Linked DNA regions of Drosophila melanogaster. The protein of the gene in region 4 interacts with the protein of the main gene of each other region in a pairwise test. Each region holds a gene or a part of one and is shown on either strand. Other genes may lie near its edges. The genes, in order: side-VI, CG9331, CG15927 and Taf12.

Region 1 (6,180 bases), 710 kb from region 4:
TTACCTCTGCAGCTGTGTGTGAAATTTATTGTTTCAAGTTAATGCCACTTGATGGATTATTTGGCTTTGTACAGCAAAAGCTTTGATTTCAATTCTTCTTTACTTTGAAATGTGATATTCGCCAGTGTGATTTAAAGCGCTTCCATTTGAAAGAGAAGGGACGATTTGGCAAAGAGAAATACGTGCTATAAAGCATGTACTTCTTTGATCAACATAAAAAAACAAATTAAATCATTTCATTTGATTAAAGTACGAACGTGATATTCCTCAGCGTTGTTTAATTTAAAAATGGTTTTAATTAGTACACCTCAGGTCATTTGATATCGCGATTTGTGGGCTCCTGTAATGTACCCATTGGTTTTCTTTTTTGGTTTCTCCAAAACCCAATTCTTTCATACAAATAAAACCTTTAAAAATGTACTGTGATTCAGTCTTTAATTTGTATTTTTTAAATCTGACAAACTATGTAATCGATTCCTATTAAATTCACTTTTTTATGGCCCTTTTCTTCGAAAGGTAAAACAAAACTACAATATATTATCATGTTTTCATTTGAATGGCCCATATATTAGTTAATACATTTAAATCTGGTTTTTTCATATGTAATTTTGTTAGGGTTAAAGTGTAACGTAAAAATAATTCAATATTAGGAAAATGTTTATTCTGCTTATGTATATATATATATATTTATTTTCCGCTGTTCCCAGCAACCTGCTGCTTATATCGGATGTCCCAAAATTCATCTTGGATAGTTCCGCTATTAACTATTAAAATTAATTGTGAAACTTTTCACTCCGAGCTTTATGCGAGTCACACGCTTCGTCTTCCATTTGTGCTCATAAATCTCGTCTGTCTACACACACCAACTCGCATCCTTTCAGCCGTTGTCCTCAAGAGCCTGTCAACAAAGGGCCAGTGAAAGTTTTCGTGTGTCATGACAATATTTACATGCTGCATTAAACTTGCTCCCCCTGACAGGCGAAACTTTTGCAGCTGCTGCTCATGTTATTAAAGTTGCGCATACGCCAGGTTGTCCCCTGGCCAGCTTGATTTATGCGAGAAGAAGCCTTAACTTTTGGACCAGGCTTTTAATAATTTAAGCTCTGCAGAAAATCAGATCTGAGATAGCTCCCCACCCCTGATGCATCCCTGGCCTGTTGCCAAGCCACGTTGCGTTGACTGAGCCGAAAAATGCAAAAATTTCCTGCTGCCGCTCCTCGTTTCTGGCCATGTTGACAATGGCGGCAACAAAGCGCATTTGGCAAGAGCCTGCAGCCTTGCCAACACCCATACCCATAGCCACACATATACCCTTACCCATATCCACATTCACATTCACATTCACATCCACATCCACATGCGAAGACGTGCTCAGCAAAAGTGAAATGGCAACAATATATGTGCGAATGCGAATACGAATGTTACCAGCCAGCCAGTCCACAATGCAACCGGGTGCGAGACTCACTGAGTTGTATACTACTCTGCTTGCCATATATGTATGTATATAGAAATAAAAAGTAGGTTATGCACAGACAGCATTTTAATATGATTTCCATGGCTTATGTCTCCTCGGGATAGACTAACGCACTTCTCAGACTGACTAACTGACACCCCGGCATCAACAAAATGATCAAAGGCAATGGGAAATATTATCCCTGACACAATCGCAGACAAATTGTAAGTTCCACTCATCTGTGTGACCCACTTTGGCGTTGTGCCTTCAAAGAGATCAGCAGGGAATTTCAGCAATACTGATGACTAAACTTATAAAGCTTTATACCAGCAAAGTCTGACAAATGATTATAAAAAATTTATTCGCAGCTGAAGAATTTAAGAAAGCACAAGTTGTGTTCAACAGCTTTGAAAAGATTTAAAATTCCTTTAACTAATAAGTAACGTAACAAGCGTTTGGTTTTCCATAATTGTTTTACCATTTTTTGATACAATATTTTGCTGCCATTCGTTGACAACAAAATGATTCTTTAATATTAGGGAATTAGGAATGAAATTCCTAAAAGATATTTAAATCCTCCAATTTTCCTACACCGTCTTAGATTTGTTTCCAATAAAACTCTTTATTTTCATTCAATTCCGAATTATTATTACAAGAAGACTGCACTGAATTAAGCACTGAATTTATTTCTTGTATTCAGGCCTTTTGTGTGGAATTGTTTTCACTTTAATACCATTACATTTCCACATACCTCCAAGCTGAATAGAATAAATGTTTCTATTTTTAATGCTTCAACCTTCTTAGCACAATGGCCTGCATTATTATTCTTAGCATACTTTTGAGCGCTCACTTTCGTCTGAAGATTAGGTTTGTCGGTACAAAAGTATATGTACGTTTATTTTGGTAGATATTTACTTCCCACATGCACTTACCCCTGTTTCGGCCGTATTGTATCCTTTTGCTGTGGCGTTTACTCCGCTTTTTGGCGTTTTTTACGGCCTTTGTAATAAAATCAGCCCTCAGGGGTTAGGAGGAAATGGAGTTGTTGCTGCTGCTGTGCTTATTGCTTATTGCTCCTGTAGAGGGCGTGTTGGCATTAAGCGAGTTTTTATGCAGCCAGCGAGACGCACACACATCATATGAAAAGGAGCTGAAGGAGTTGGAGGAGCAGCGGCAGGCAATTGAGCAAAAAATATGGCAAAGTATTTGGCGGGTGCGAGGCATAAATTTCGATTTCGTCGGCCTTGCTTTTGCTTTGCTTCTGCTGCTAACTTTCTCGTCTTCGAATCGCCGCCAGCCGCGAGGCCAATATTTAAAGTAGCAGCCGATGCGAACTTTATTTATGGCTCAATAATGTGTATTTTGATTTATGCATTGTGGGCGCGTACACAAGCGCACATATATATAGTCGTACACTGTAACTGCGGCACACACATACACGCTCCCAATCGCACTCACTCACATACACTCACTGTATTGTTGCCTCAAGCCAAAAAGGACGCGATTTGCATAACAACACATTCAGAAACTTAACGCAGGCGTTTGAGATGTTTCTACTTCTACTTCTAGCACGTGCACTCTCGTCTCGCTTGACGTTTTTCTATTTTTATTTGGTTGTTGTATATTCAGCATTCAACAATTGCGATAACCGATTGAGATATATACTTTTGACTAGGTTGGGTGGCACTTGTTTCTTGATTTCCAGCCCAATTGCTTCGTTCGCCAGTTTGCGGATGCGGACGGTCAACACTGCGGCTACGCGATGTGAGGCGATGCGATGCGATGCGATGCCGCCCGTACGACAGCGACAACGACAACGACAACACGACAACGAAAACGAGAACGACAAACGGCGGCAACGGAGCACGACAACTACACAAATCCACGACCTTTTCAGTACTAAAGCGCCTGGCCATTCATTCGTGGCTTTGGCCACTTTTGCCATCGCCCTCCACGATTCGGATCCTTCGGCTTTCGCTCGGGTCGCGCATTTTCGACTTTGCCGAACAGTCGAATCCTTTGGGTTTCCCTGTGTGTGTGTGTGTGTGAGCCTTGTAAGTGGGCCAACACTTGCCGCCGATTCGATTTCGAAAGCCAGAACGGCTGGCAAGGGCCAGAGTATAAGAGTTTTGGTTGTAAAATCCAAAAGTCGTCTTGGTTGTCAATCTGTGGAAGCCAAGTGGTAGGTAAGCTTACCTCAAACGCTTCATGAACTTGAATTGTCAAGTTTTAAAAACGAAATATAAACTACCAGGGGCAAAAGATAAAAAAGATGTTTGTGAATGAAAAAATAAATCACTTCTTATTTTTATCTATTGATAATAATACTAAAAGTTATGAAAAGTATTCACCTTGTTGACTATATCTTGTATTAAAAATCATCTTATACCTTACTTGAAAGGATCCCAAATGTTTTTATTGTTTTTTGAACCAATATTTTTGAATATGCTGCCATGATGATGGAAGTATATCAATATGAAATCCCGATCATGATTTATTTGCGACTTTCCACTTCCCTTCCCCCCTGCCGTGGGTGTCCAGTCCTACCTCAACACCCTTTTGCCCTTGCGAACCTTCTAAAAACATATTCCACCACGCATTCCTGTGGAACCTTTTGCTTTCCCTCTCTTTTGCGTTTCCATCGAACTCACGATGTCTGCCTCTCTTCAAAATCGCATCTACCTAGATGAATGAGAGTTTCAGAAAGCGGTTACCAAGAGCATCTCGCACTTACTGCAGTTTCGCTGGTCAAGGCAGCCAGTCAAGGATCACAGATTACAATGAATACTTCACTAATGTTTGGCTAAAGTTCATGCAGTAAGACTATAAACCCAATTAAATATATAAAGTCCGTATAGGTGAATAAAAGACCAATAGAACCATTTCCGGGTTCTGGCATCGTTTTAAGAAACTCTAATGTCCTACTTATTAAACCCAAAATGTAAGCCCAGCTGAGTGATTAATTAATCAGAATTTCCTGATTGATTTCCTCAAGGTGTAGGCTAAAAAATGGCACCGCTACAACTTAACCTACACCACCATCAAAATCACGCATCACACCGCTTACAAAAAAAACTCTACTACAATGGGGTGTAAGCATGTAAGTTGACATGGGACCACGAGACCCGAAGCTCGCATCTCTCACGCTTTCTCTGAACTTTCTCTCGGCTTTCTCTGGCTCTCTTTTCGATTTCGAAAGCGTGGTTTCGCCAGACATGCGCCCGAAACCAGCAAAAAAAAAACCGAATGAATTGTGGAACGCGAAAACTTTTGCTTGGCATGAATGGGATTTTTTCAAAATTTCCAACGGTTTCACTCTTATACCACTCAAGGAAAGCTCTCGCTTTGCAAGGCGATCCACTCAAAGGATGAAGAATGGGACACATGGGTAGCACTGCAACAATTGCACAGCCTAATCTTATCAAATTTCATTTACACGCTTGGCCAAACTCTAATGGCAAATCCAATGCCGAAATGAAGATAGCACTAAACCACTTTCGTCAGCACACACACACACACACACACACTCGCGGACTCTTTTTCCTTACTTTCCCCATATATATATATAGTGTGCACATATAGAAAATGTAACTGGTGATGTTGTCAAAGTATTTGGCTCCTCCACGCGACATTCTTTGGGCCAAAATAGCGCTGGCTAAACATTAACTAAAACTGCAAAATTCCATCACTCACACACACATAATCAAAAGCCCAGGACGACACTCACACACACATGCAGTTTCGTGTGTGGTGTAGATTGTCGGTCTTCTGTTCCTACAAAATCTCAACGCTCAACCGCCAAGCATGGCATTTCATCAGGCGGCAGCAACGAGAGCAGCTGCACCAGAATCAGTCTAAAACTAATCAGGAATGGCCGATTTGATACCCATTAGTTGTTGTATTTTAGATTTTGCAATAGATGTATTGTTTCAGTTTCCTTATATCTTATAATCATTTTATCATTTATTAATTTTAATTTGTTGATTTCTTTTAAGTATAAGTAATAATGCAGTATTATTTCCAACTACCCCAATCCGAAATGAGTAGCAAGTTTAAAAAACCCTTAACCCCTTTTCCCTGGCTGGCGAAAAACCCCAGCAATGCGAGCAAAGGAAGTGCACTAAGTGCAGTGACCAAATAGCTGCCAGAGAGTCCCGAACCGGCGGCTGATCCTGCTCCGCTCCTGCTCCTGCTCCTGGGTCTGCAGCTGCTCCTGTTTTGCTGCTGTTGCCACCGCCCGGAAGTGGCAATGGTGTTGCACATGACTTTATAGCTTTTACATTAATGTGTGTGTGTGGGTGGGTGGGGGTTCTGTGTGATGTGTGTCTGTGTGCGCGACAGTTTGGCTATAAAGCAAAAGTTGCATTAAATTTAAATCATGAGACGGCGGTTTCTGTGGCCACCGCTCCCTGATGATGAGCACACACTGTCGAAAATAAATTCGGCTAATTAAATGTGTGCACTTTAAAGGGTGTTCAAGATAATTTGGTGAAAGAAAGATGAATATTCTAAAGTGAAGCTACGGCGATTTAGAGAACTAACTGCTTATCAAATATTTAGGTCGAATTTTTATCGAAATTTCGAAATTTTTCCAAAGTGAACTGAGCTGAAATGAGCTGGGCAAAGTTAGGGCCAAGCGGTGTTCAACGTTTTGTCATTAAAAGTTGAGTTGGTGATGGTGCATCGGAAAGCTTTTGGCGCTGGTCTCAAATTTGACTTCTCCTAAC
Region 2 (7,746 bases), on a different chromosome or scaffold from region 4:
CTAAAAGCAACTAGGACTGATATCAATAGCCTACAGGAACTATAAAAAGCTGTAATCTTTAGATTAGGCATACAGATTACGTCTACGCTGCAAAAGATTGTTTCAAATCGTTGCCACGCCCACAACTGTTACATACATATTTTTGAAAAATTAAAAATGCTTTATGTCCTGAGATCGAGTTGTTCGAAAGGACAGACATATACTTGTATGCAATGAAAACGTTTTCTTCTTCCCGTTACTTATTTTTGAAAGAAGTATACCGTTTACTTTTGGAGTAACAGGTATACTGATTAATCGTTCAATTTAATATACTACTACATCCTTTACTGTACAACATGGTGTACATCCTCTTGGATCACTTGTGGAAACGACGACTCGAACCCACTGCCAAATCGACCACGTCGTTGTTGACAGGGGACTTTGCACCTCTTGACTTCCGGCACATCGGCGTAGTCAGCTGGGGGCAGTATTCATTTAGAGCCACTGCCTTATGGGGCTACTGTCCTGCTCAGTCGCCGGTCTGCTTTCTTGCTGGTTGCAGCAGTTGCAGTTGCAGTTCTCTTTCTGCAGATAAATGCCCACATAGTAATCCCTGGGATTCGCCCCCAGCACCTTGAAACCAACGGGCCATGCCCAGGGGCCTTCAATTATTATATTCGATCAGCAAAGCCATAATCAGTGGGAGCAGGTTGAAAAACTACAACCGAAGTCGGGTTTCGCGAGCGAACTCTCAAGCGGCATAAGCACCCAGTTTTAAGAAGCGATGATCCTATTCCGATCCTGATCCGACAAGCTCCCGCAGCCGTTCCTGGGACTTTTGGATGCGAAATCAGCAGTTTGAAGGTCCTCGATACATTTTGGGGAAAAGTGGTAGGTTTTGCAATTGTGCAGAGCTAAACTTTGCGAATTACTAAATCAATGTTTTCTGCTCTCATTTCTTAAAACGTACAATATTATTTCCTACGATATACTATATTAGTATTTAAATTATGTTTCTCATTCTCTAGCACCAATTATTCTATTGCTTTACCTATTCCATATTAATCAGTTGAGCTAATCTTACGGTATAGATTAGATTCCCACATATTTAATTTAATAAATTTGCAACAGCAAATACTTGTTTTTTAATTGTTTTTTTTATTTTCACATCTACTGGCATGCCAAGGTCATCGGCGGCCTTTCGCACTTTGTTTGGCGGACATTCCAAACTGGTTAGCGGTAGAAAGCCATATTTCCCATTTGAATTTACTAGTAGGCGGGCGACAACATGGGCTCCCCAGCCAAACCGCGGAGCACATTATGGGCAGCAATGGTGGACATGTCGGCACGGGTGCGCTTCGTGGCGGATCCAATATGGGGCAGGACAACTAAAAGAACACATCAAGTGGTTAGTTCAAGATACGATTACACAAACCAAGATAACAATGTTTTAATAAATCAACAAAAGAAGGGAATTATAGAGGTCAACAAGGACGCAGAAATTAGATAAAACATGGAAAGAATAAACGTTACCCTATTTATTTGTAACCTTCAAGAAACCTTAAAGATTCCATTAATTTCAAAATACTTTTAGTCATTGTCAACCACTGAAGAGATAAGTCAAAATCTTTATATTGATAAGGGGCCAGAAATACGAGTATTTGCTAGGTGTGGGCCTGAGGACTGATATCAATAAACTACAACATTATTTTCATTTTCCCACTCACCAACATTGTCAAGCGTCAGCAGCTTGTCCTTGGGCGACAATGGTTCCGGATCCGTGACGTCGAGTCCGGCGGAAAAGATTCGGTTGGCTTTCAAAGCCTCGTAGAGGTCATCCTGGTTGACGATTTCTGAGGAATAAAATAAATAGTTAAAATCGGTCGAGAATCCCAATTAATACTGGTAACTTACTGCCCCTGGCAATGTTAACCAGCACAGCAGTCTGCTTCATCTTGTTGAAGGCGGTGGCATTAAAGACGCCCTGTGTGTCCTTCGTCAAAGGAGAAGCGATCACTACGAAGTCACTCTCGGCCAGAAGGGTATCGAAGTCAACTTTCTTGGCATTGAACTCCTCCTCGATCTCCTTGTGAACACGACGACGGGTGGTGTACAGCACCTTGTCAATGTCGAATCCAGACAAACGCTTGGCAATAGCCTGACCAATGCCTCCAAAGCCGTAGAATCCCACGGTGGAATCACGAATATCCTGGCCCAACAGCCAGTTAAGATGGTAGTTTTCCCACTTGTCACTTTTAGAACGCAAAAGATACAAATTAAGAAATTGAAAGATATATGAATATTTCCAAAATATATAATATACTTGTAGATACTCGAGATACTGATAAATGCCTGTTACTAAGCTAAGATGAAGATAAAAAAAACTTTTTTTTATTGCACCGCCACCTAGCGGCGGTTACATAAACTGCTCGTACCTTTTGTTTGTAGATAAATCGAAAGTCAATACTTTAGAATTTTACATTATGCATGTGAGGAGCCAAAACCTATTGATGATAATGCTTTGTCCACTTGTGAGCGCTATAGAGCAAAAGTGCAAGCGACAGACGAGCGGACAGGCGGTATTCTTAAGAACCGGCTTGCAATTTTAATCGAGAATTCATGCGTATACATTTCACGGCCACACTAAGTTGAAAATAAAGTGTCCCTAGTTTAGCTTAATTATAATAATAATTATGACAATTATAATTTCGGTTTACTCTATTTTTGTCATTGCTCAAATTAATTCTGTAAGTATATGAATCATCACAAACACAACTAACCAACTAGTGGTACTCACTTGTCGATGGTCTTGCGACCCTCGTGAAAACGGCGACTGGCGGCGATCAGGAGACCCACTGCCAAATCGGCCACGGCGGTGTTGAGAACGGTGGGCGTGTGTCCCAGCGGGATCTTACGTCTCTTTACCTCCGGCACATCGACGTAGTCGATTCCCGCCGACATGGTGGAGATGGATTTCAGCTGGGGACCGGCAGCATCGAGGGCCTCGGCATTGAGGGGTTCGTGTCCACCCCAGAGAACGCCATCCACGCCACGGATTTTCTCCAGCAGCTCCGCCCGGTTGATGGGAACACTCTGCACCTGGACGATCTCGCAGTTCTCCTTCAGCAGATCAATGCCCTCCTGGGGAACCTCGGGATGTGTCACCAGGACCTTGAAAGCCTTGCCAGCGGACATGGTGCGATTCTGGCTTTGATTTCTGCTGCCCCTGCGTGGGAGGGAGGCATTACTACCGGCGATCAGCAAGGCCACAATCAGTGGCAGCAGGGAGTTGGTGGCAATCGATCTCATCTCGAAGTATTGCGATCGAAGTCGTGTTTCGCGAGCGACTGAACTCTCAAGCGGCATACGCACCCAGCTTTAAGGAGCGGCGAGAACGGAAAGCCGCTGATCCGACTGCTCCGACCCACGATCGCAGCCGATAAACCAATGAACCTGTTTAGCATTATAATCCGCGCTCTAAATCTCTCCCTATATATGTATGTACGTATGTATGTATGTCTGTAGGCGTTCAAGCCGCCGAGCAGCTGATGTGAGTCTCAGTCTCTCCTACGGCGTATGTATAAGACGCACAACTGGTTTGCTGGTTCGAGAACTAAGGTATAATATTGGAGTTTTATCGAAGTGGATTCAATAATCAGGAACGGTGCAAGATTATTTCTGGGTTAATAACAATAACATTTGGCAAAAATAAACATTCTAAAATTAAGTTTAATTTTACTTAACATGTGGAGCGTAATGAAAAAATTACGAAACATAGATGAATTTATCAAAGACTAAGAGCCAATTATTTTGGCTAAAAAACAGAGACAATTATTTCAGTGGAAATACGATTATATACTGCGGTCAATAATTTCGAGTAGCTAAAATACATCTATCTCCCATGTTTTTTAAAGTACTTAAATTTCGCGGTTATACGGTCGCTATCTCCGCACAGACGCACGAGATTTTTATGGCGAAATTCCGCGAGCAAAAACTTTCAGATATGTTCGCATCTAATCATTTTTCCACGACTCATTCCACTCAACACTTTTGACAATTTGATGGTTTTTTAGCATTGTTTGTTTGTTTGTGGGAGGGAATGGAAAAACCCACAGTAATATTTTGATATTAATTACACTCAATGTCACCAAAGAACAAACCGTCACTCTTAAAAACTCTCTTAACCAAACTGTTTACGACACCAAATGTCACAAGAGAACTACTTTATTATATTATTATTAATTTGTTCTTTACACTATGCTACACTCTGCCTCCAAACGCACCCGACGTGAAAATTTAACTAAAACTTTTTTCCATTGGCTATGCAATAAAAGCTCGCAATCCGATTTCATTTTTATGTTCTCTTATTTAGACTTTATACTTTCTCTTACCGTGAGATCTATAGAACTAGAATACTTTTCAGCTTTGCGTTTGCCGCACGACTGAAGTATTGGCCCCAAAGCTTAAGCCTTATATAGAACTCATATCGTATCGCAAATGAATTATCAATTCCCAAAAAAGAGTTAATACGAGAGTAATTTTCAACATATTAATTCGGTTTACATTTTATGGAATGGTGCACAGATATTTTTGAAGTCAATTGTATAAATTCGTTAAAATAAAATAACATATATGAAATATTTAAAACAATATGCGATCTAACAAACTTTTATTATCGTAAAAATACACCCCTTAAAGGCCGGAAACTCACTAAAATCTCAGTTAAAAATGTAGTTCACTCTTTAACATAATATTGGGGTTATATCAACCAGATTCCAGTACTATCAGCGATCAGCGATTCCCCCTCCGATTAGACCATCATTGGGCATCCCTTTCTGTCGTTGCACACTGCGCTTTGCCGCTACCATCAGTCCGTCCCTTTCCAGCTGCTTATCTCGAAAGGCTCCTTATCGGTGCGAACGAGACAGAGACGGAACTCTTTGGGAGAGTGAGCAGTTGGGAAAGCTGTGCGCCTGCTCGAAATACCAGTTGGGGACTTTTCCCATGTGCTCGCATGCAATTTCCAACTGGAATGGGCACCACCGCAGTTGGAGCCACCGGAGCAGTGGAGCCATTTGGCCATTTAGCCGTGGTGCCATGGAGCCAAAGCACTGCAGTCGGTTGGAACGTGGAACCTACACGACCAGCACTATTTCGCAGTTAAGTACGTTTTTTTGTGAGCGGATCTGCTCAAATTTTGTCCGCAGAACAGCAGGCGCACAGCGTTGGCCAACGCACACTGCGCTTTTTCGTCTGTGTGAAAGCGGCGGCAAGAACCGTTCGCGTTGGCGTTAGCGTCGCTGGCAGTGATGCGCGAATTAACTAGCTAGAACTTCCGACAAAAGGCACAGAAACTTAAAACAAAATACTAAATTACTTTACGTCTACGTGTAAGGAGTAATCAAATATTTTACTGGTTAGAACTGAATATATTCATAGACATGATAATACATATACATATTTATAAGATATTCCAAATGTTAAAAACAATAAAATTATTGATATTGTTACTATACGAAAATTGACTAATCTAAATTTTACTGATTTACGATTTAAGTATAGAACTATTTTAACATAGTTTTAACCATAATACCGCTCTAGTGAAATATCGAAACGGACAGTTTGGCTTTTTGTTTGCCTAGATTGGCTTCACTGAAAGTTGTGCACTTCCTCTTACCTTTGAGATTTGGCCCAGACACTGCACTCTGCCTAATTGAAAGCGAAACGAAAAACCAACAAAATATTAGCGCTTTGTGCGAGGGTGGATTTTTTTGTTGTCGTGACGCGGCGCAGCGTCTGTGCCTGCTTTTTCTTCGTCCCCCACAACGGTTTACACATTTTCTTCGTGCCTTGTTCTTTTGTTTCGCGGCCATTGTGCAGCAGAGTGCCGCACATTGGTGCTCTTCTCGCTTTTATGCTTTCCTGTTACCAAAACACGATGCGTCATTTTGACTGACGTAACCGGAGACAACATTCCAATTGGAGACAGCTGTCTATCAGACGCGACCGTCGTCGTCGTTACGTCTGCTGCCGCCGGCATTGCCAGCGCTAAACTGCGGTTTGGTGAACAAGTAATCAGCAACTGATGACAGCAGACAGACGCCAACGAGAGTGTGTGCGGCGGACAGAGAAGAGAAAATGCGGAGAGATAGAGATAGTGGAGGCGGACAGTGAAAGACGGGGTATAACGGAAAAAATGGAATTTGAGAAGCGCATCTCTCGATCTCTCCACTGAACATATGAAAATACAATGTACATATGTACATATGTATGTAAATAATATTTATAAGTTGGGATATTAGAAAGCCTAACACTAGGTCTTCGTTTTAGGCTAATAAATTACTACAGTTTCGATATAATCGGAAACTGAAAATGAAAACGTTTACTTAGTTCAGTTCCCAACTAAGAACAAAGTGGGCATACTTTTAGGCACTTCTAAGCACTATTCCTGATAATGCTTAATGCAATAAAAGTTAATGTGTCACCAAAAATACACATTGTAGTACTTGTTCACATTTCTTAAAAAGTAATTTACAAACATTTTAACTTAGAACTTAGAACCTTGCTAATTGCATTCACAAGGTAAGATTGGGATTGCCTTCGCACAGCACTCAGCGGGTTAAAGTCAACTGTCAAGGGCAAGTTGCAGACACCTAAGCAGCATCCACAAACATATCCGTACTGCTTGCGCCGCATTCTGCTTGCTTCATATTTGGCGACACCAGCAGCGGGAATCGCAAATGGCGGCCGAGCGACAAAGCTGCAAAGCGAGGCGTCGCGCACTCCGCGCAGGCGCTTTTGGAGCGCCCAACTCCACTCAACGGCCTGTCGAGAAGGCCAAGATGAAAAAAAAGTGGGACGTGCCGGGCCACAAAAAAAGTGGCCAACCGTCACCGATTTTTATGGTGTAGGCTCCCTAAAATTGACGCGCAACATTGAGGCAGGTCCCTCTACGCGATATAACGGAACAGGCGCCCAGAGTCGCCAGCAGCGAGATAACCCGACGGAAGACAAAAAGCGAGAGCGAGCTGTGTCTGTGTGTCTGCGCGTGTGGTGGTGGGCCCCAAGTCGATGGCGGTGCCTACACACGGCACAGCTCTATGAATATAACGAGCACGAGAGCGGGAGCGGGAGTGAGCTCCACCACGAGCTCTAGAAGAGAGAGAGACAAGTAGAGTTGGTGAGCGTGGGAGTTGATGTGCACTTGCATATGTGCAAGTACAGTGCGTCCTCTGTAACAGTAAGCACTAAACTGAAAAGAGACTAGCAAACTAGTAAAGTACCACTGTAGTCATTCCCCAGATTTCAGTTGCTCATGGAAGTGTGTACTTGTGTATATACATATATACCAACATACTTAGGTAGCTAATCCAGCTCTGTTGGCTTTGTAATGATGTTAACATTGACTGACGTCAGGCACGGGTCTTAATTTACATGTCTCTGCTGCTTGGTTTTTGTGTTGCAGCAGTCCCCGTTGCTTACCACACATGATAATTATGGGAATGCAAGTGTTTTGTTTTCGCTGCACTTGCTTGCGGTTAAGAATTGGGAACACGTCCAGGGTCACTGCAGAGGGGTGGGGGGGGGTGGGGTGTTAAATTGACCCATGCTCGCGGCATATGTACATACATATGTATGTTTCTTAAGCTCAAACAAAAAACCTGTTTTTGCGTTGGGCACCTTTTTATTCGATTTGGTGGAAGTCTAGACCATATTGTGTTTCAATGTTTATATTTTACTATGGGGCTTCGCACTCAATCTTGATTA
Region 3 (4,663 bases), on a different chromosome or scaffold from region 4:
TCTCGGGCCTTAAATTCCTGCACAAAAAGGGCATTATCTATAGGTGATTTTGATTGATTGATTTTGATTTTGATTTTATATTTTATATATATTATACTTGGCCATTTATAGAGATCTCAAACTGGATAATGTCTTGCTGGACTACGAGGGACATGTTCGCATTGCCGATTTTGGCATGTGCAAGTTGCAAATCTATTTGGACAAGACGGCAGATAGCTTTTGTGGCACACCCGATTATATGGCGCCCGAAATCATTAAGGTATTGAATATATTACCAACATGTTGTAGTCTTAATTTTATAGATTTAGCTATCATCTACTTTTAATGCTTACCTCTCAATTTGTAGGGTGAAAAGTACAATCAGAATGTGGATTGGTGGTCGTTTGGTGTGCTGCTCTACGAAATGCTAATTGGACAGTCGCCATTCAGTGGCTGCGATGAAGACGAGCTCTTCTGGTCCATTTGCAATGAAATTCCATGGTTCCCAGTTTACATATCCGCCGAGGCAACCGGGATTCTCAAGGGGGTAAGATAAAAATAATAAATCCATTTAATATAAATATAAATAAATGTAATACCTTTCAGTTGCTGGAGAAGGACTATACGAAGCGTATTGGTTCGCAGTACAGCCCGGCTGGTGATATAGCCGATCATATATTCTTCCGCCCGATCGATTGGGGTTTGCTGGAAAAGCGACAAATCGAGCCGCCCTTCAAGCCGCAAGTGGTGAGTGATTTGATGGAGTTATTACTTAATTAGCTAGTTTTATTAATTTGTGATTTGTTGTGATTTTTTTTTTTTTTCCGTAAGAAACATCCCCTGGATACCCAGTACTTCGATCGGGTCTTCACCAGGGAAAGGGTGCGTCTAACACCCATCGATAAGGAGATATTGGCATCCATGGATCAGAAGCAGTTCCACGGCTTCACCTACACAAATCCTCACATCACCTTGGACTAGAGCCTAATTAATGTCCTAATTAATTATTTAGAGCAACAGTATTTGTATATGTAAATATTTATTATGGCCAAGAAAACAAGAGATTAACAATCAAAGCAAATTGAAGTGAAATCGAAATTTTAATACCTTGTAGTTAAGCTTTGGAGCACATTGAAAATTTGTAATTCTAGTCAGTTAGCTATACGTTTATATCTAAGTCTAATTGTACAGATATCCCTCCTCACATTTACCTATATACATATATATATACGTATGCATATAAATATTTTTTTTTTTTTGCAAATTATTTGTTCTAAATTTTAGTGATTAAGCAAAGGTCTACGTCTATGAGAAATAAAAGAAAAGTAAATAAAAAATACAAACATAATGCGGGTCTAATGTGGATATTGATGTTGAATAAAAACAATGTCAATCAAATGGGTTTGTGATTTAGCTACCGTTACGAGCGCTTTCCGGTGATTATCAATTAATACAGTGCGTTTCGAAAGAGTAAGTATTGAGTATTTCAGATGATAATTTCCAAATAAATACAAAAATAGAATTTAAAAGGCTCATTACGAACCCAACACATTATTATAATCTTAAAGTGGACTTTCATTAAGTTCTTCGGTTATGTCACGCACTGTACCGGACTGTCCATATGCAAATGTGGAACAGTGAGAGTGATCAGCGGTCAACTGCAAATGCCGGCTGGAGTGAAAATTCTGAGCCACGCTTTTCCACATTGCTAATCTGCATAGAGAGTTTACTGCCTTTGTAGTTTGTGGGTTTTTTTTTTTTTTTTGATTGCGGGTGTCTTTTGTCTTAATGCTAATGGGCCGGAGATGTGTGTGTGCTTATGATGGTTGTATTTTGGCTTTTTGTTTGGGCCACTACCAGTGGCAGCGAGAGTGGACGGGTTATGTTTTAATGGCCATTGTAATGGCTCAACTGTCGGCTAGTGAACCAGTGTTAATGTCAATCCACACGAAGGCATTCAAAGAATTATTCTTCTCCACTTTGGCATAAATCAACACAACTCACATACGCTCACAACTCACTTGATGTTGTTAATAAATGTGTGTTGCTCATAACAAAATAGAGGAAATAATGGAAGAAAGAGCCACTTCAACAGGCCACCAAACAATAAACGTCCAGTCGCGGCCAGTTATGTTTTTATTTTCAATCCAAAGTGTTGGACATATCACCACGCACAATGGTGCCAAAGCTATGAACTTCTAATAAATTTTGCTATTTAACTAACATCTATGCTATATCGTCTTATATATTTAAAATGGCAAAGACAGTGCATTTTATTTAATTTTTGGTTTTAAATTTGCATATATTTTAACCCACTGTGCATTCGTGTACCGTACGGTATTTTCTCTAATTAATTCGCTTTTACGAGCGCATTCAGCTGACTTTAGGTTGATTTGAGCCGTGTATTTTTTAGTCCGTTCAGTTGCTGCAACACGGGCCTAGAACGCGCTGCTTTTTCGCTTCACTCTCGACCGAATAACACATTTTGTTTATTTTTTATTCGAGTGCTTATATCGAGTGATCCTTGTGTTTATGATGAGCTAACAACCTGCCGGAAAATGCACATTTTGGCCTATTTAATTCTGAGCCTTTTTGGCCTGGTCGAGAGTTATGGCCATCAGCCGGTACTGAGAAATATCATCAAAGTGCGAGCCAGCGGCTTTATGCCCTTCGAATCGGATTTACTACTGCCATTGAATATCCTGCGCCAGTTGCAGTCGCACGATCGATCATCGCGTTACATTGGTCAGAGGCCAAAGCCAATAGTGAGGCCAAAGGTTAAGCAACAAATCAGATTGGAGAGAGCCAATCCTTTGAGGGAGGCCAAAGGTGTTCAGCTCTATAACTTGATCGATGACGATGGTGAACTACTGTTGAATCTCAAGGTTCACAACGAACAGAAGGGAACTGCACCGGCCAATTATCAAGAGGAGAAATATCAAAGTAGATACCAGAGCTACGATTCACCATGGATGCCCTCGAAATGGAGACCGACCAGCGAATTTCTGGGTGTGACCTCCTCATCGCCACGCCCACTGCCCCTGCATCAGTATCTGGGCCAAAACAATAATCGCATCGATCAAAATACGGCGAAAAGGAGGCGGCAGGATATATGGCCCCACAAATAATAACTAAAATATAATAATATATATAATATATAATATATAACTCATTTAATTGTTTATTCTTAAACATCACAGCACCCAGAGCACATTCACATTTATGAACCTGATTTCAAGCAAAATCTCAATGATATTCATTTGAATTTTTTTGAAAATAATCAATGATCCTAAAATATTTGCTAACATTTTAAAACAAATTATATTAAAGCCAAATGATGGAATACTAGTTCTAAAAGTTTATAAGATAATTGAAAAAAGAAAAAAAAACGTTTCAATTTACTTTCTTTCTACATTTATATCAAGTTCTTCTTTTCTTCGATGTACAAAACTAAAAAAAAAATAACTCGAGCTTAAAATTAAGCCACATCGTTCAAAATAATCCATAAGATATAAAATGTACGACACCGATACACAAAATAATCCATAAGATACAAAATGTACGACACAGATACACAAAATAATCCATAAGACACAAGAACACGCTACAACATAATCAACCAGACACAAAATACATTTCGAAACATAAAAATAAACGTTAAGATACACATACATAAATATATCCATTAGATGCAACGTATATCTAAAATGAACATAAGCCCACCGATGAAAAGGTCGTTGAGCTACCGCTAAATTAGATGACTGTGATTATGCTAATATGGGTCGATCGAATCGAGTTGAAAGTGAAATTGAAACGCGAATCGAAAGTGACTGAGCCGCATGAATGGAATCAAATCAAAATGAATAAAATGCTAATTCACACAGCCTAACTAATCGTGAATACATGGGAATTAGAATGCATAAAGAATGGGTTTTTTAAACCAAATTTAAACAAACAAAACAGGCAAAATGATCAATGATACGTTAATTCGCCATCTATCAGAACTTTCCAACTATTTCTTTAAACATTCTCATATGCTGCAAACAAACTTTCCAAATCGTTGTTCACCCCATATATCACACAATATTCGAATGGTTTATAATTTACAGATGGTATATTTGTTTAAAGGGTGAGGTAAAATGGGAACAACAATAAAAAAAACATGGGAAATGAGAAAAAAAAGGGGACCTAAAATTACTTAACAAGACTCAAGGATCAGTATGACTCGAATCGAATGGCATGGAATCACTTCCAGCTGGAGGATGGGGGCAGATATCCGGGCTGGGGAGCGGATACGGGGGGCAGATACTCATTGCTGGGCGGCAGGTATTCGTTGCTGATGATGGGGGCGGGTCCGTGGCCGTGGGCATGGCCACCGTCCTCGTGAATGACCTTGATGGTCTTGACCTCTTCGAATCCGCCGTGCGAATGACCGTGATCGTGGCTGTGACCGCCCTCCTCATGGATCACCTTGACCACCTTCACTTCCTCGTGGCCGCCATGTCCATGTCCATGGCCGGAGTAGCCACCGGCATAGCCGCCGCCGCCGCCCAAAGCGTGTCCTTCCTCGTGGATGACCTTAACGGTCTTGACCTCCTGGTGACCGCCGCCAGAGTAGCCACCATGTCCGCCAGAGTAACCGCCATGACCGCCAACCTCCTGATGGATGACCTTCACAGTCTTA
Region 4 (5,103 bases):
TAATGTTGGCCGATCGTTTTGAATTCCGGTGAATTTTTAGGTGTGCTTCGAGGGCTTCGCTGCGGCTGAACTTGCGAATGCAAAGGGAGCAGTCATATAATCGAGTTTCTGGCTTATGGACGCGCATTTCATGGCGTTTCAAGAAGTCGAATCGTTTAAAACTCCTAGGGCAGTCGTGACATTTATATACAGACTTTCTTCCTGTTTTCCACTTTTGAATGCGATTATACAGTGGCAAATTATCCAGGGAGCTGCAAGATTAGTTAGTTAAAATAAAGTAGTTGGGAAATTCCAATTGTCACCCACTCTTCGTCTTCAAAGTCCGATGTGGGATCGTCATACGCTGGCTTCTCCACGCTTCTGGGTTCCATTTCCAGCTTCACCGTTTCAATCATGGTCAGTGGGTCCACCGACTTTTTGCTCTCCATGTCCGTTTCGTCCGGTTCCGGTAGTTCGGAACAAGTGATAGTAACATCATTTTCGCCACAGTCCTCATCCTCAGTCTCCAGCTTGACTTCCACATGCTGCTCAGCACACAGCTCCATCGGCGCCTCCTGCAGACAGTCGGTTGACGTTGGAGCAGCACCGTTCTTTAGATGCTTCATTAGAAGTTCGTTGGCGGCCATCGCCTGCTTCACATAGCAATAGGCACCCATTAATTTTTTGGTGCATCCACTGCACAAGCATTGCGGAAATTTCTGACTACCAGTTGCATCCAGCTGAAAGGTAAATGTTTCATTTTAGTTTGCATTTTTCGTAGATTTCGCTTCTTAGAACTTTGTTTACATTGATTTCGGTTAGCTCGCATAAAATCTCCGAAAGCAACTTGTCCGGATACTTTTTCGAGGGCGTGGCCAGCTTCAGAAGGTTGTCGGTGTCCGTGGAGTCGCACGTGCGACAAATCACCGGCAGCTTCATGGCGAACAAATTTGTTTTGGCCAATTGAAAGCTTTTTTAATTTTAAATCAACAATCAGAAAATCAACATTATTGATGGTATGACCTTGATGCGAGAGATGGAAAATACCGTTCGGTCATTAAAAAAATACCACGTTGTTAAAAAATACAGCAATTAATTGGGTGCGTTCAGCAGAGTCCGCTAATTATTTTCAAAGGGAAATATTACACAAATATTTTTAAAATAAACTGAAGAAATTGTTAAATTATGAAAAATATAAATCAATATCCACCAGACAAACAATTAATACAAATATTACAGAACCATTAGAAACTGTGATTAAAAAATCACGACTTAAAATTTACTGCTGACGGTGACCAATTGTTGAATGTGAAATCAATAGTGCACTTTTATTACAATAAATCTACAATAGAGCGACGATAATTTGTTATTTAATCTAAATTGGAGCTTAAATTAGTTTGTGGCGTGTGCACGTTTAGCATACGCGAAATCCGGCAAACCGAAACAGAGCCTCGACCCGATTAGATCCAATCCTCTAGTATTTCTTGATCGTTTTCCGTATGAGGGCAAGGCGCTGTTTGTGCGCCTCCGTGACAGCTGCCCGCTTGTAGGGACGCAGTTCGTCCGTACCGAAGCCGGGTATCCACATGTTGTACTTCCGCTCAAAGTGCAGCTGCACGTCGCGCACCTCGATCTTGTTAGACTTTCGGTGCTTGGCGAAGGCGCTCGTCGACTTGACGGTGTCCTCGACAAAGTCGTCGATGATCTGAAGCAGAAGCTCCTCAACATCCTCGTCCAGCTGCGTGGTGGTATCCACCTCTCGGACGAGCTCTGTGAGACGCGGTTTGGTAAGCATCTGTAATTCGGAAGAGAGTTAAACTAGACCCTGGCGTATTCCGTGTGCACTCCATAAGGCACGCATCTTACGGGAGTGTTCTCGGAACCGGCGGCGGATGATGTGTGATTGGATGACTTGCTACCACCAGATATGGGGCCCGTTCCCGTACCCAAACCGGAAACCGGTCCGCCGTTCTGCGAGGATGAGTTGCTGTTGTTGGTCATCGGACTGTGCTGGGAGGGCGAGGCCATGGGTGGGTCGTGGAGCAGTCCGCTGGCGGACGATGTGGAGTTGTGGTTGTGGTGCAGGTGGTGCTCGGCGACGCCGTTGCTATCGAAAGTGGTAAAGAGATCCGACATTGCTTTTGGGTTTCTTCAGAGTCAAATCAAGTGGGTGGTAGGTCGGTTGGTTGGAAGTGTTTGGGGAAAGTACAGTAAGTTGGGCGGATTTTTGGGGAGTGGGTAAGAGTGCAGAACCAAAGCCAAAAGCGTTAGTGTACTTGTTGTTGTTGCTGCTTATGTTGTGTGTCCTCCTGCTTTCTCAACTGCAGTCGGTGATTGTGTGTGCGTGGGTGTTTGGTTGCAAAGCGAAATGTAAGTAAAAGAATAGAGTGGTCAATTTCACGCGTGCGGTCTTAAGAATCCGTCGCTTTGTGTGTTTACTAAAACTAAAGTGTTACTTAGCAGTTGCTCTTAGCGCATGCAACACTTACAATTATTGCGGTTTTAACACTTTGATCTTAAACTATTACTTTCCTAAATTACTAAACAAAATAAAAATAAGCGGAGCAACTACAGCCAAATCAACAGTATGGCCAGTTGCAGGCGACTCTGAAATGCCCGCTGGTGCTATAAAGCAATTTGGTATATTTACGTTTAATTTCAGTATATTTTAGTTAGACAGCCACACTGGCGTGGAGTTCAAAACAAAACAAAGACGGCGTATTTTGCAAATATCACGTAGATAAGGAATATATTTTACTTTGTAATTGGGAACAATAGCTGCGCAAAAGAAACATGTCAGCGAGCGAAGAAACAATAGCGGACAGTCAGGTCTCCGAGAATGTGGAGGATGTGGAATTCGTAGACATGGCGTTCACAAAGGAGTTGCGTAAAGCCACAAAAGATGTGCATAATCTTACTGATGTTCTAGTGAATGCAAAGATCGCACTTGGTTCGTTAATTACACGATATTATTAGAAGTTATTAGATATTCCTCTTCTTCCATAGCCCTTTCTGATGACGAGGTCTGGTATGATGGACTCCTGGCCTTCTACGAACTGTACAAATTCTTTGAGACCCATCTGCCGGAGCGCCTGCTGCCCAAAGAATTCCACAGAACAGCGGCATTTGAAAGGGATTTTGCCTATTTCTACGGTTCCGATTGGAGGAAGGACTACGAAATTCGCCCGGCGGTCCAGAAATATCTCGAGCATCTGGAAAAGATTGCCGCACAGAACGAACTCTTGCTGTTCGCCTACTCCTATCAGATGTACATGGCTTTGATGTCCGGCGGACAAATGTTGCAGAAGAAGCGTATGATCGCTCGTAAAATGTGGATCTTTTCAAAGAACGATGACGAGGAGCAGCAGAAGCAGGCCGACAAGGAGGCAGAGTTGGCCACCGCCAGAGCTGCCGATGGCTCTGTAGACAAAGACGACTTGGAGGCCAGGCCAATGCCTGCCCAGGTTACCATTTGCCCGCCGGGATGTGAGGCCACATATTTTCCTGAGAAGGTGCGTAGCTTTTTACTTTGTTCCTTATATCTATTGTCTTTATATCCACTTTCAGATCTCTGTCTTAAAGGCCAAACTAAGGCGCGTTTTCAACAATCACTACGGAGCTTTTGACGATGATTTGCGTGCTGCTTTTATTGAGGAAAGTCGCAACGTATTTCGCTTAAATATAGAAGTAGTACGGACCATCAAAGGTGTGAATCGTGCCAATCTTAGGAAGCTGGCCCTCGCACTAATCTTTGTTTCAAGTATTGTAGTGGCCGTGAAATTTGCTCTCAAGTAAGAAAAGTAGGAAATACAAATGTAAGCTCTCTTGAGCAAGTTAGAATTGTGATCACACATTTATTTAGTCGTTTGTTAAATAGTAAATAACCTGAAATTTGTCTGAAGTAAAGTATTTATTGGGAATGTCCGTTGGCAAAATTATCAAGCAGTCCTCGTCTATTTATCCATGGCATGACACGCTCTATATTGGCCCTATAACGTTCGTTGCTAAACATTGCCTCCCTCAGGGATTTGCCATTCTCTTCATTTCCCAAAAAGCTATCAGTGGTAAAGTCATCGGTTGTCTTGTTAAGACACATCGACAAGGTAGTGAGCACAGTTCCAGCAGCTTGAAGAAAAACATGTCAGTCAGAGGAATTTAAAAACCTCAAATCCTTCTGTAAATTACCAAAAATGGGGTGCTGTATCAGAATGGCGTGCAGTTCCTTTAGCGAGGGAATAAATCCGTTGTAGTTCAACAGCTTGGCGTGCTCCTTCATGTTTTGATGATACCATCGGATAAGGTAGTCAAACTGATCGACTTTGATGTCCAGTTGAGTGGAGCTCATTATGAAGTAATACAGATCCTGGGCAGGATTTCCATACTTCGTGACTTGGTGATCCAACAGGAGGGTTTCCTTGACGCGACCATCTGATTCGTATTGGAACATGATGTTATTTATCCAGGCATCACCATGATTGAGCACATTAAACGCTTGTTCATTTATTTTGGCATCTTCAAGTATTCTGTCGACATACGTATCCAAGATCTCTGGCTGCAAAATATGATTTTGTTAAGTTAGTTACAAGGAATAAAGTAAAGTGACTTACCATTTTGTGCAAGTACTCATCCACACCGTCAAACTTGCTCACTTCTTCTATAAAGGATTTCTTAGTGTTAACAAACATACCCTTAAATATAGGTGCCGTTTGCTCTGTAAAAATGCCATTATTGTATTTGGGCGAATAGGGTCCATTTAGTTCCTTGTACTTCAGAGAGGCTGCATGCCACTGGGCCAATTTCTTTAACGTGCACTTGGAATGCTCCAAGTCCATTCCAATCATGCGATCGACCATCTTGAAGCCACTCGGCTGCAGGTTCTCCAAAAGCAGGTACTCCTTGCTGACGTCCTTGCTGAGCCGGAAGGACTTCGGACTAAAAGTGACTGGTAGGCCAACATCCTTATAGAAACGCTCGAAGGCGGGCACATATGTGCTGTAAACCTCTATCTCTTTTGGAAACAGGTTAAAGTCGGAGAAGTTGATTGCGTCATTGTCGCTGTGGACTTTCAGGATGTACGAGAAGGTCTTCACGCTATTGTCTGTAGATGTGAGAAGATTGGTTATA

The links.
Region 1: the proteins of Taf12 (region 4) and side-VI interact in a two-hybrid assay, tested with the Drosophila melanogaster proteins (one large-scale study listed by BioGRID).
Region 2: the proteins of Taf12 (region 4) and CG9331 interact in a two-hybrid assay, tested with the Drosophila melanogaster proteins (one large-scale study listed by BioGRID).
Region 3: the proteins of Taf12 (region 4) and CG15927 interact in a two-hybrid assay, tested with the Drosophila melanogaster proteins (one large-scale study listed by BioGRID).

The regions. Positions count from the first base shown.
Region 1 is NT_033777.3:10,969,555-10,975,734, reverse strand, and holds the start of side-VI (sidestep VI), read right to left. Parts: upstream 3,355-6,180; 5' UTR 2,386-3,354; intron 1-2,385.
Region 2 is NT_033779.5:20,821,118-20,828,863, reverse strand, and holds CG9331 (uncharacterized protein), read right to left. Parts: upstream 5,223-7,746; 5' UTR 4,749-5,222; intron 4,431-4,748; exon of another isoform or gene 4,140-4,430; intron 3,593-4,139; 5' UTR 3,444-3,592; coding exon 3,352-3,443; exon of another isoform or gene 3,289-3,351; coding exon of another isoform or gene 3,197-3,288; coding exon 2,777-3,196; intron 2,232-2,776; coding exon 1,894-2,231; intron 1,833-1,893; coding exon 1,707-1,832; intron 1,368-1,706; coding exon 1,249-1,367; 3' UTR 1,140-1,248; downstream 1-1,139.
Region 3 is NC_004354.4:12,452,332-12,456,994, forward strand, and holds CG15927 (uncharacterized protein), read left to right. Parts: upstream 1-2,397; 5' UTR 2,398-2,537; coding exon 2,538-3,107; 3' UTR 3,108-3,352; downstream 3,353-4,663. Other genes in the region: Pkcdelta (protein kinase C delta), read left to right, coding at 1-43, 112-259, 347-526, 586-726, 811-960; CG15731 (uncharacterized protein), read right to left, coding at 4,225-4,663.
Region 4 is NT_033777.3:11,677,099-11,682,201, forward strand, and holds Taf12 (TBP-associated factor 12), read right to left. Parts: upstream 2,593-5,103; 5' UTR 2,469-2,592; exon of another isoform or gene 2,301-2,468; 5' UTR 2,116-2,300; coding exon 1,846-2,115; intron 1,775-1,845; coding exon 1,454-1,774; 3' UTR 1,288-1,453; downstream 1-1,287. Other genes in the region: CG18476 (uncharacterized protein), read right to left, coding at 1-251, 307-719, 787-918; Ho (heme oxygenase), read left to right, coding at 2,773-2,929, 2,986-3,491, 3,547-3,774; CG6830 (uncharacterized protein), read right to left, coding at 3,890-4,104, 4,165-4,531, 4,587-5,077. UniProt on the Drosophila melanogaster protein: TFIID is a multimeric protein complex that plays a central role in mediating promoter responses to various activators and repressors.